Caenorhabditis elegans: one gene and its partner. The protein of the gene in region 1 interacts with the protein of each later gene in a biochemical or structural test. Each region holds a gene or a part of one and is shown in the gene's direction. Other genes may lie near its edges. The genes, in order: cap-1 and unc-78.

Region 1 (4,359 bases):
CCTTAACGTTTTCGCACAGAGAGCAGAATTTACTGAAAAGCCAATTCCTATTGTTAGTTTATATAAATTGCAAACCAACCATGTAGTTTTACCACCGAGCATCTCTCTCAATTGGGAGTTATAACTCTCTGGACACCATTGAGATGGACTAGTTACGTTTGCACAAATGCTCTCAACTCCACGAAGATTTTGAATCGCGTCTTCTGATTTGCAGGGAACGTTTTGGCCAAGTTGCATAAATGCTTCAATGTATCTAGAAGAAAGAATGTACCATTTTTTTTTTCTATTAGACTGTTATCGGCATTGCTTTACTTTGACGGTTTAGTTTATCGAAAAAAAATGTTTTCACTAATAAAGTAAAGAAAACTATGTTATAAGTGTGTTCAGTTCGCACTTTTCATGAAACCAAAAAACCCGGGAAACCCCCGTCGAAGAGGTGTAAAGAGGTGCAAGTTTAATAGGGAAAAATACGGAATCTATTACGATTTTAAGAGATTTGCAGGATTCAATTTTACGAATGAACTCCAGTCTTAAGTTTCAGCTCTAACTTACGGATTCTCGATAGGTCTCAGCATCTTAAAGCTGACTTTAACTCTATAGCATCCAGGGAAATCAATTTGGCGAGTTTCTCCATTAATATCAGTAATTGTTACTTCATCTTTTTCTTCATCTTCTTCCTCTGGATTATCATTCTTCAACATTTTCATTGTGATCTTCAACGAGCTCTCGTCAATAACATCGGAATCCACTAAACTTGGTTGTAAATTAATTGTAAAACCATTTAATTTTTATTTAAAAGAACAAACCATTCGGACAACTTTGTGTGACATTTTCTCTAACTTGAATGTGAACTTTTCGGCATGTTGCCAGTGCTAAAACAGTTAGGAGTAGTATGAGGAATCTGAATAACATCTTTGAATATTCTGAATTGTCTAACAATTTTCTTTTATAGCATTTTCAGTTGATCGTGATCATCTTGACCTAGTTATTCGAACAACTAGAATATAGCAAATCCGTTGTTGCCGGACTATTATTAGAAGAAGAGGAAGCGAACACTTTCCGAAAAAAGAGTGGAATTGTTTGCATTATGAACAACGTTTTTAAAACATTTAACCGGAATTTTTTAGATCCAAAGTTTTTTATTCAGATTAAACAATTTAATTGATCAATTCTGAACTATTATTTCAAGTTTGAAGCTTAGCGTTTTCTGGTTCATCAATTTGATTTTGCAGTTTAAGAAGCAGAGGAAGGGAATTCCCGAAAAAAATGCATTGTTTGTTTTATGAACAACGTTTCTATATAAGTCGCATTGATTGAAAGATTGCAATGTTCAAATTTCGGTTTTTTTTCTTGGACTGAAATCTACCGTACCACTTCCAAAATTTCGTGTTTCTCGAATTATATTTCAGACGCAAATAATTAATATTTCTCGTAGCACAGGTTATTCTTGGCTTTTCGACATAATTTTCTTTCAAATTTTCATTGACATGCTCTCAAATTTCAAAGATTTTCTTCTCTAGAAATGCTCTCACATCTAGTACATATTCTCTCTTCCAGCGAATTTTTCACAAATTTTAAGTGTAAATAATGTAATTGAATTCTGAACATGGTTCAAATGCTTTTTATTTTATAGACTATTTATTACTCATTTTTTATAACTGCTTTAGTGTGCTTTCTTTTTCGCTGAAGAATAAAAAACATTTCAAACTAAATATCTCAAGTAATCTCTATCCACTTTCCGTGTGGTGTCTCTCGAAAACGCAAGCGCGCTCTACGGCTAAAATCGATGCGCTCATTTCTCTGTTTGTGATTCATTTTTGTTCACTCTTTTATTCAATGAATCACCACTTTTATTTTGTCAATCTTTATTTCTTTTTAGTTATTTGATAGAAATATATTTTTAAAATGTTTATAAGCATAACTCTTTCTCGTTCAGAATGTCGGAGATCAGTGACGCCGAAAAGGTCCGCATTGCTTCGGATTTCATTAAACACGCGCCACCCGGCGAGTTCAACGAGGTAATTTTTTGTCGATTTTTAGGAGAATTGCTCGTTCAAGCTTGATATTATAGTCATCAAAAAATTTATATTTCGCAATTCACTTCAATTGTCAATTTACCTTTCCATTCAGGTATTCAATTCGGTTCGGATGCTTTTGGAAAATGATGATCTTCTGAAGAACAAATGTGTTAATGCTATCGCTCAATATAACGTTGGACAATTTGTGCCAGTAAAGTTGGATGGTGTTGCCAAGCAGGTATACTATTTTCATTTTTTAAACTTTCTTCAAATATTTAATTATTTTCTTCAGACTCTGATCACTCCATACAATGATTTGGGTAATGGACGTTTCTACGATGAAGTTTCAAAGAAAAGTTTCAAATACGATCACGTCCGTAAAGAGGCCGCAGATCTTCAACCACATCCAGCCGAGTCTGGAATAACCGAACAATGGCGTCAAGCTCTTCAAACTCAACTCGATATATATATTGATGATCATTACGCGAAAAGTGGAACGGGAGTGGTTTTTGCTCGAAACGGAGTTTTCACGATTTGCATCGAATCTCATCAATTCCAGCCAAAAAATTTCTGTAACGGAAGATGGCGTTCGGAGTGGAATGTGCCGGTTGGCGATGGTAAATCAGGATCTCAGGAGATGAAAGGAAAAATTTTGTCGCAAGTTCATTATTACGAAGACGGAAACGTGCAGTTGTTCTCTGAGAAAGAGCCGGTTCTTAAAGTCAATGTTTCGGTAAATTTTTTTTTCCATAAATTGATCCAATTTAGAAGGATAGAAAAAAAAGTTTTTCATAAAATTGTGAAGAACAAAATAAAATCACAGGAATCATTTAAATTATATTTTTCATAGAGCTATTTAATCGAATTAAAAATTGGCATATAAAGCCCTATTTTCAGGCTGACTTCGACAAAACCGCCAAAGAAATAATTCATGCCATTTCCGAGGAAGAGACTATATATCAGAATGCTGTACAAGAGAATTACGCTAATATGTCTGATACCACATTCAAAGCACTTCGTCGCCAATTGCCAGTTACTCGCGCTAAGATGGACTGGAATAAGGTATCGTAATTTCACAATATTTCGGAATGCCTTCGGAAAAGTGCACAGATTTATTCAGATGGGTCTCGGTGTTTCTTATTTTTCTGTTAACAAATGCTTCGAATCAGTTTTATATCCCTTGTCATGCAGACACAATAAAAAATAATTGTGATTTGAAAACTAATTTAAAAAGAATTTTAACAGAAACAAGAGATGAAGCCGACAAAATTCTCTAAATGCGAAGTAATTTCTTTGAAAAAGATTAAGCAAGGGCTACCATAATAAATCTGTGCGCCTCTACAAAGGCATGTCAAAATTTTCAGAATTGATAAAATAAAAAGAATAAATTAATTTTAATTCAGGCTCAAACCTACCGAATTGGTCAGGAAATGAAGTAATCACAAAATCGTTATCACATCGCTTTGCTTCAAGTTCGTCTGCTGGTCTTCATCATCTTCCTAATCCTCTCCAAAAACCAAAAAATCCTCCAATTTCGACCTTTATTTCTCCCACTTTCCTTTATCCTTTGGCCGGACACTAGACGTGCTTTACAACATAATACCCTTCGTTTGCTCCGCTGCTTCTTTTTTCATGATTTGATAATTTGTATCATCTATGTATCTAATTTTATTGTATGGTATGATTCATTTTTCAATTATATATTATTTGTGTGTGTGTGATTAAGAATTTTCGAGATATTTTCTGATTTTAGAAAGGTCGCGCACCTTTTGATATATATTTAAACGAATTAGCTAAATAGTTAATATGTGTTCGTTTAATTGAAGAAAATTCAGATGCAAAACCTCACTGAGGTTCTCAATGCGACTTTATTGAGCAACTTGTCAGATTTGGTATCATCGACAAGTACGGTATCAACCAGCACGACTACAACTACCACGACGGAAATTCCATTGACTAGTAAGCTTTCAGAAACATATTTCTAAGATTACACATTTTTTCAGCATCTTTTCCTCCAAGTGATCATACAACTGCAACGTCGATCGCCTTCATTTCCTTGGTAGTTTTTGGAGTAGCATGTGCTCTCATTGCGAAAATTGTGATAAGCCATAAGAAAAAGTGAGTATCCTTTCGATTTATAAAACATTTATTCTCAATTTTAGGAGAGCTGAATTAATCGGATCAGCACGATGGAGAATTTCTGCTTCAAGACAAAGCGCATCTTCGGCTTCTAGTGGCGGAATGGGCCAAAATTCTTCAGCCACTTATCTTCCCATGGGCCGTGGAGGGTATATAAGCAATTATTATTTTAATTATTTCACATTTTGAAACTTTAAGAAAC
Region 2 (5,273 bases), on another chromosome or scaffold:
TATTGTTAAACGTATTGTATTTTAACTCAAAATCTTTCTTCACAAACTTTAAAAAAAAACTCAAGTGTAAGTTTATTCATTTTTCCAGTGTCTCATTCCAATGCTCGTTGCTACCAAGGTCGCCTCGTATGAAGCTGAAGAAGCGAACAATATCTTCGTTGTCACCCCTGAAAACTTTGCCAAACAAGCTGTCAGAATTATCGGGACTAATTGGGAAATCACAACGGGCTGTGTGCAACATGATGTTCAGGTAAAATCAATGGTGTCTTAGTGGTCTGAATATTGCAAAATTTCAGGTTGCCCTTGGAACATTGTTCTCCTTTTGGTTTTTCAAAGTACTTTTCGTCCCTGTTGTTATGCTCGGAGTTCATAAGCATCGTGTTGCCTCTTATCAAGCGAAGAACTCGAGAAAGAATAATTAGAGTTTTTATCATTTCACGTTTATCCATTTTCGTTCATTTTTATCATGATTTTTTTTTATTGAATGCTATTTTTCAGATAAAAAAGTTTTCGTGTGAACTTAATTTTTTAGAATCTTTTTTTTAAAGTTGATCACCGATTGAAGCTTTTTTTGCCAGAAAAAACATTTCAAATTTTTCCCACTGGCCATACTCCACAGAATTGCTGCACACACTTGAATCCTGCAAATATGTTGGCTCTAGAGAAAGAAAAACAGTTTTAAAAAATTAAATATACAAATTTTTATGATCTACTTGTTTTTCGAATATTCCTATTGAAACATCTCGAGAAGCCAAGTTGTCAGCAATTTTTTATAAGCTTTTAGTATGTAGTTTGGATTGTAGTACTCTTTATTCAAAAATACTTTTGGACTTAAATAATAACATGTCTTTTTTATATTAATGAATATATTGATATTGAAAATTTAGCTCTTCCGGTGACTCACGGGGAATCATATTCTAGTTTGCACAAATTCATACGAGAAAAGTAGAAAAGGGAGGAAAAAAATCGTTTTTTGTTGCGATAAGGCTATAGTTCGCTTAGTCAGCCCCTCCTTAACGTGTATGCAACATGAATCACATGTGCTTGGTGAGTTGTCTCATCGAGAAAATGTTTCATTTCTCATTCGAAAAGTTATTGCAAAACCCGACCAATTTTCTTCTTATTTTGTTTTGTTTCGACATGTTGTTCGAGAAAAAAAAACGTGTTTTTCACCCAAAGCTTCCCCCGCAGGTTTATCGATTTTTCCAGTGACGGCTAATAATAAAAAAAGCGGTCGATGAGCAACGAGGAGTTTACAGCCGATCCTCTGTTTGCGTGAACCTCCGTTTCTCGATTGTCGAGTGATGATGGGAATCGCCGAGTCGCAGATTGAAAAACACGTCTTGCTGTCGAATGCTTTCCACCCGGCGAGCCGGCGGGCCCCGTTTTCTATTGACCTCCTCTTTCTCACAACAATAACACTTATTCACTTTTTTCACGTCACAAATAACTATCGCATTGTTCTTCGTTATCAACAAAAATAGATCGACCAAATTAATAATTTTTTCTTAGAAAAAAAAAAGAAAATTTCAATTATAAAATTCCGTCGAAAAACTTATATATTTCAAGCAAAGAAAACAGTTGTTCAATCTTTGCGGCCTAGGAAACCCCATCTCGGCCGCGCGCACTGTTTGTTAGTGACCAGTGACCGCTGTCCTTCCGCACCCTCATTAGTTCCTCACCCGCTGTCGTCACTATTTCTTCTCAATGCTCTCGTTTGATTTTATTGATTTTCTTCCTTCGATCTTTTGGATTCCTGCTCAATTTTTACAATTTTTGCAGAATGTCGGAATTCTCTCAAACCGCATTGTTCCCGTCTTTGCCTCGCACTGCTAGAGGAACTGCCGTAGTTCTCGGTGAGTTTTTATATTTTTAATTGCACGGTGATTTTACTATTTAATACTAGAAATTGAAGCCGTATGGCTGCATTATATTTTAATATGGCTGCAATACTAATTTTCAGATAAATTGTTTCTTTAAAATAATTAGTCTTCACTTGCAAAAGTAGAAAATTCTGAAAATTCATATTGCGCAACATATTTAAAGTATTTCGTAGCGAAAACCACATTGATCCTTTAAAAAACTACTGTAGCGCTTGTTGTTACTGTAGTTTTTTTGTCAATTGTGCGAAAAATAGTAAAAATCATTGATGAAATATTTAAGTATTAGTGAGACGCTTTGGCAACAGAAAAAGTGCAAAGTGAAACGGTTAATAGGAAAGCTAAATCACGTTTTACAAAAATACTTCCAGGCAACACCCCCGCTGGAGACAAGATTCAATATTGTAACGGAACATCGGTTTATACTGTACCAGTTGGAAGCCTAACCGACACCGAAATCTACACTGAGCATTCTCACCAAACGACTGTCGCCAAGACAAGCCCAAGTGGTTATTATTGTGCTTCTGGTGATGTTCATGGAAATGTTCGTATCTGGGACACAACTCAAACCACCCACATTCTGAAAACTACTATTCCGGTGTTCTCTGGACCAGTGAAGGATATTTCGTGGGATAGCGAAAGTAAGAGAATTGCCGCCGTTGGAGAAGGCAGAGAACGTTTCGGTCATGTTTTCTTGTTTGACACTGGAACGTCTAATGGAAATCTTACCGGACAAGCTCGCGCTATGAACAGCGTCGACTTCAAGCCATCACGCCCATTCCGCATTATCTCTGGATCTGATGATAATACAGTGGCGATTTTTGAAGGACCACCATTCAAATTTAAAAGTGTAAGTGATTGTAATATTGGATTAGTTTTTGAAAATTCTCCACAAAGGTTCCGCTTAAAGTATTTCGAAATACTACATGTTATTCTATTAGGTTTGTGTTAAGTTGTATTTTTTAATTCCAAAAAAGATAATTTCGCGTGAGCTTTTCGCTGAAGTTTCATGCTTTTTATTTGATAAAACATTAAAAAAAACACTGAGCGAACTTTTTTTTCAGAAACTATCAACAAATAATGTAGAAAAAAACCTGAACGTATGCGTGAATTTTTAATACTACCGGAATGCAAACATCTTTTCAGTAGCTTATTGTCAGTGCAACTCTAACAGAGATTTAATTTTGATAGAAGGAAACTTGTTTTAAATGACTCGAGTGTTCCAAATACGTTTTCAGACAAAAAACCAGTTTCAAATTTATTTTCCAATTTTTCCAGACTTTCGGAGAACATACGAAATTCGTCCACTCTGTGCGCTACAACCCTGATGGCTCTCTGTTCGCCTCGACTGGAGGAGATGGAACCATTGTGTTATACAACGGAGTTGATGGAACAAAAACCGGAGTCTTTGAAGATGACTCTTTGAAAAATGTCGCTCATTCTGGATCTGTGTTTGGCCTTACCTGGAGCCCGGATGGTACAAAAATCGCATCGGCTTCTGCTGATAAGACCATTAAAATTTGGAATGTGGCTACATTAAAGGTTGAAAAGACTATTCCCGTTGGAACTAGAATTGAAGATCAACAACTTGGAATCATTTGGACCAAGCAGGCTCTTGTGTCTATCTCTGCTAATGGATTTATCAATTTTGTCAATCCAGAATTGGGAAGTATCGATCAGGTTAGATACGGACACAACAAGGCGATTACTGCACTTAGCAGCAGCGCTGATGGAAAAACTCTTTTCAGTGCTGATGCTGAAGGACATATTAGTGAGTAGTTTCAGTGCTTCGAAATTTAAAACTTGTTTTCAGACTCCTGGGATATTTCCACAGGAATATCAAACCGCGTGTTTCCGGATGTTCACGCCACAATGATCACCGGAATCAAGACAACCAGCAAGGGTGATTTGTTCACCGTCAGTTGGGATGATCATCTGAAGGTTGTTCCTGCCGGAGGTTCTGGAGTCGATTCTTCCAAAGCTGTTGCCAACAAATTATCTTCGCAACCTCTCGGTCTCGCCGTTTCCGCAGATGGAGATATTGCAGTTGCTGCTTGCTATAAGCATATTGCAATTTACTCTCATGGAAAGCTCACGGAAGTACCAATTAGCTACAATTCTTCCTGTGTGGCATTATCGAACGATAAGCAATTTGTTGCTGTTGGTGGACAAGACTCGAAGGTCCATGTGTACAAACTCTCTGGAGCAAGTGTCTCTGAAGTTAAAACAATTGTCCATCCTGCTGAAATCACATCTGTCGCATTTTCGAATAATGGAGCTTTCCTCGTGGCAACCGATCAATCACGAAAGGTTAGTTTTTGAAAAAAAATCATTTCTATTATAGATTTCAAAATTCAGGTTATCCCGTACTCTGTTGCGAACAACTTCGAGCTAGCTCACACAAACTCCTGGACTTTCCATACCGCCAAGGTTGCATGTGTTTCCTGGTCACCGGACAATGTCCGTTTGGCGACCGGTTCCTTGGATAACAGCGTTATTGTATGGAACATGAACAAACCATCTGATCATCCGATCATCATTAAAGGTAAATATTTCTCTATTAATTTAACACATTTAACAACATTTTTATAGGTGCTCATGCTATGTCGTCTGTCAATTCGGTAATTTGGCTCAACGAAACTACAATTGTGTCGGCCGGACAAGATTCGAATATCAAGTTCTGGAATGTACCTTTTTAAGTCGAGAAGCTTTTTGATTGCCCTCTAAGTATCCTTAAAATTATATTGATTTTCATAATTATCACTAATTTTCGTGTTTACTGCAAGCACTATCATCTCCTTCGAAGCCTTAAATACACGCGTAAATAAAAACTATTGGTGCAAAGCTGTGTTTCGATTGACATCCTTACAACATGTGTATTTGTTTTCTAGAAGTGATGAGAAAAAAAATCATTCTAGTGAAAATGCTTTATTTAATAGAAAATTAATAAAACATATGAAATCTAATAGGCAACGCAGGCGGTTGGGATCTTGACAGACTCAACGAAGGAGACTGGGAAATCGACCAACTCGGCAACAGTTTGCTCACGAGCTTCCTTCAAGAAACGACGAGCGTTCTTGCTGTGGCGTGGCATGCAAGTGAAACGGATCTTCTTGTTGGAAGTCTTCTCGGATTCGAGTCCACGGCGGCACTCAGAGACTGGCTCGATGGAGAAGCAGACGCGGTTGGAGAACTCCTTGATGAGGGTCTTCTTGACGAGTTCTGAAAAATATGTATTTTGTTAAAACTACACATCATTCAGCCTTAGACTAACCCTTCTCAGTTTCCTTCTCATCGTAGTTGCTCTCGTAGTCGGAGCTGCTCTCGTAGTCGGACTTCTTCTCTTCTCTGTTCCATTTGTTTCTGTAGTTCTTCTTCTCGGAGATGCGGTCG

What was found.
Region 2: the proteins of cap-1 (region 1) and unc-78 form a complex in vitro, tested with the Caenorhabditis elegans proteins (one study listed by BioGRID).

Annotation. Positions count from the first base shown.
Region 1 is NC_003282.8:7,227,801-7,232,159, reverse strand, and holds cap-1 (F-actin-capping protein subunit alpha), read left to right. Parts: upstream 1-1,936; 5' UTR 1,937-1,937; coding exon 1,938-2,018; intron 2,019-2,130; coding exon 2,131-2,256; intron 2,257-2,310; coding exon 2,311-2,751; intron 2,752-2,915; coding exon 2,916-3,080; intron 3,081-3,421; coding exon 3,422-3,457; 3' UTR 3,458-3,738; downstream 3,739-4,359. Other genes in the region: D2024.4 (DUF19 domain-containing protein), read right to left, coding at 1-32, 80-253, 553-748, 807-912; D2024.5 (Mid2 domain-containing protein), read left to right, coding at 3,854-3,977, 4,022-4,136, 4,181-4,306, 4,356-4,359. UniProt on the Caenorhabditis elegans protein: F-actin-capping proteins bind in a Ca(2+)-independent manner to the fast growing ends of actin filaments (barbed end) thereby blocking the exchange of subunits at these ends.
Region 2 is NC_003284.9:3,408,125-3,413,397, reverse strand, and holds unc-78 (Actin-interacting protein 1), read left to right. Parts: upstream 1-1,782; 5' UTR 1,783-1,783; coding exon 1,784-1,856; intron 1,857-2,251; coding exon 2,252-2,730; intron 2,731-3,158; coding exon 3,159-3,651; intron 3,652-3,693; coding exon 3,694-4,190; exon of another isoform or gene 4,191-4,238; coding exon 4,239-4,425; intron 4,426-4,472; coding exon 4,473-4,579; 3' UTR 4,580-4,724; downstream 4,725-5,273. Other genes in the region: putative oxidoreductase dhs-27, read left to right, coding at 89-250, 297-422; vit-5 (Vitellogenin-5), read right to left, coding at 4,843-5,102, 5,155-5,273. UniProt on the Caenorhabditis elegans protein: Induces disassembly of actin filaments in conjunction with ADF/cofilin family proteins. Regulator of actin organization in myofibrils.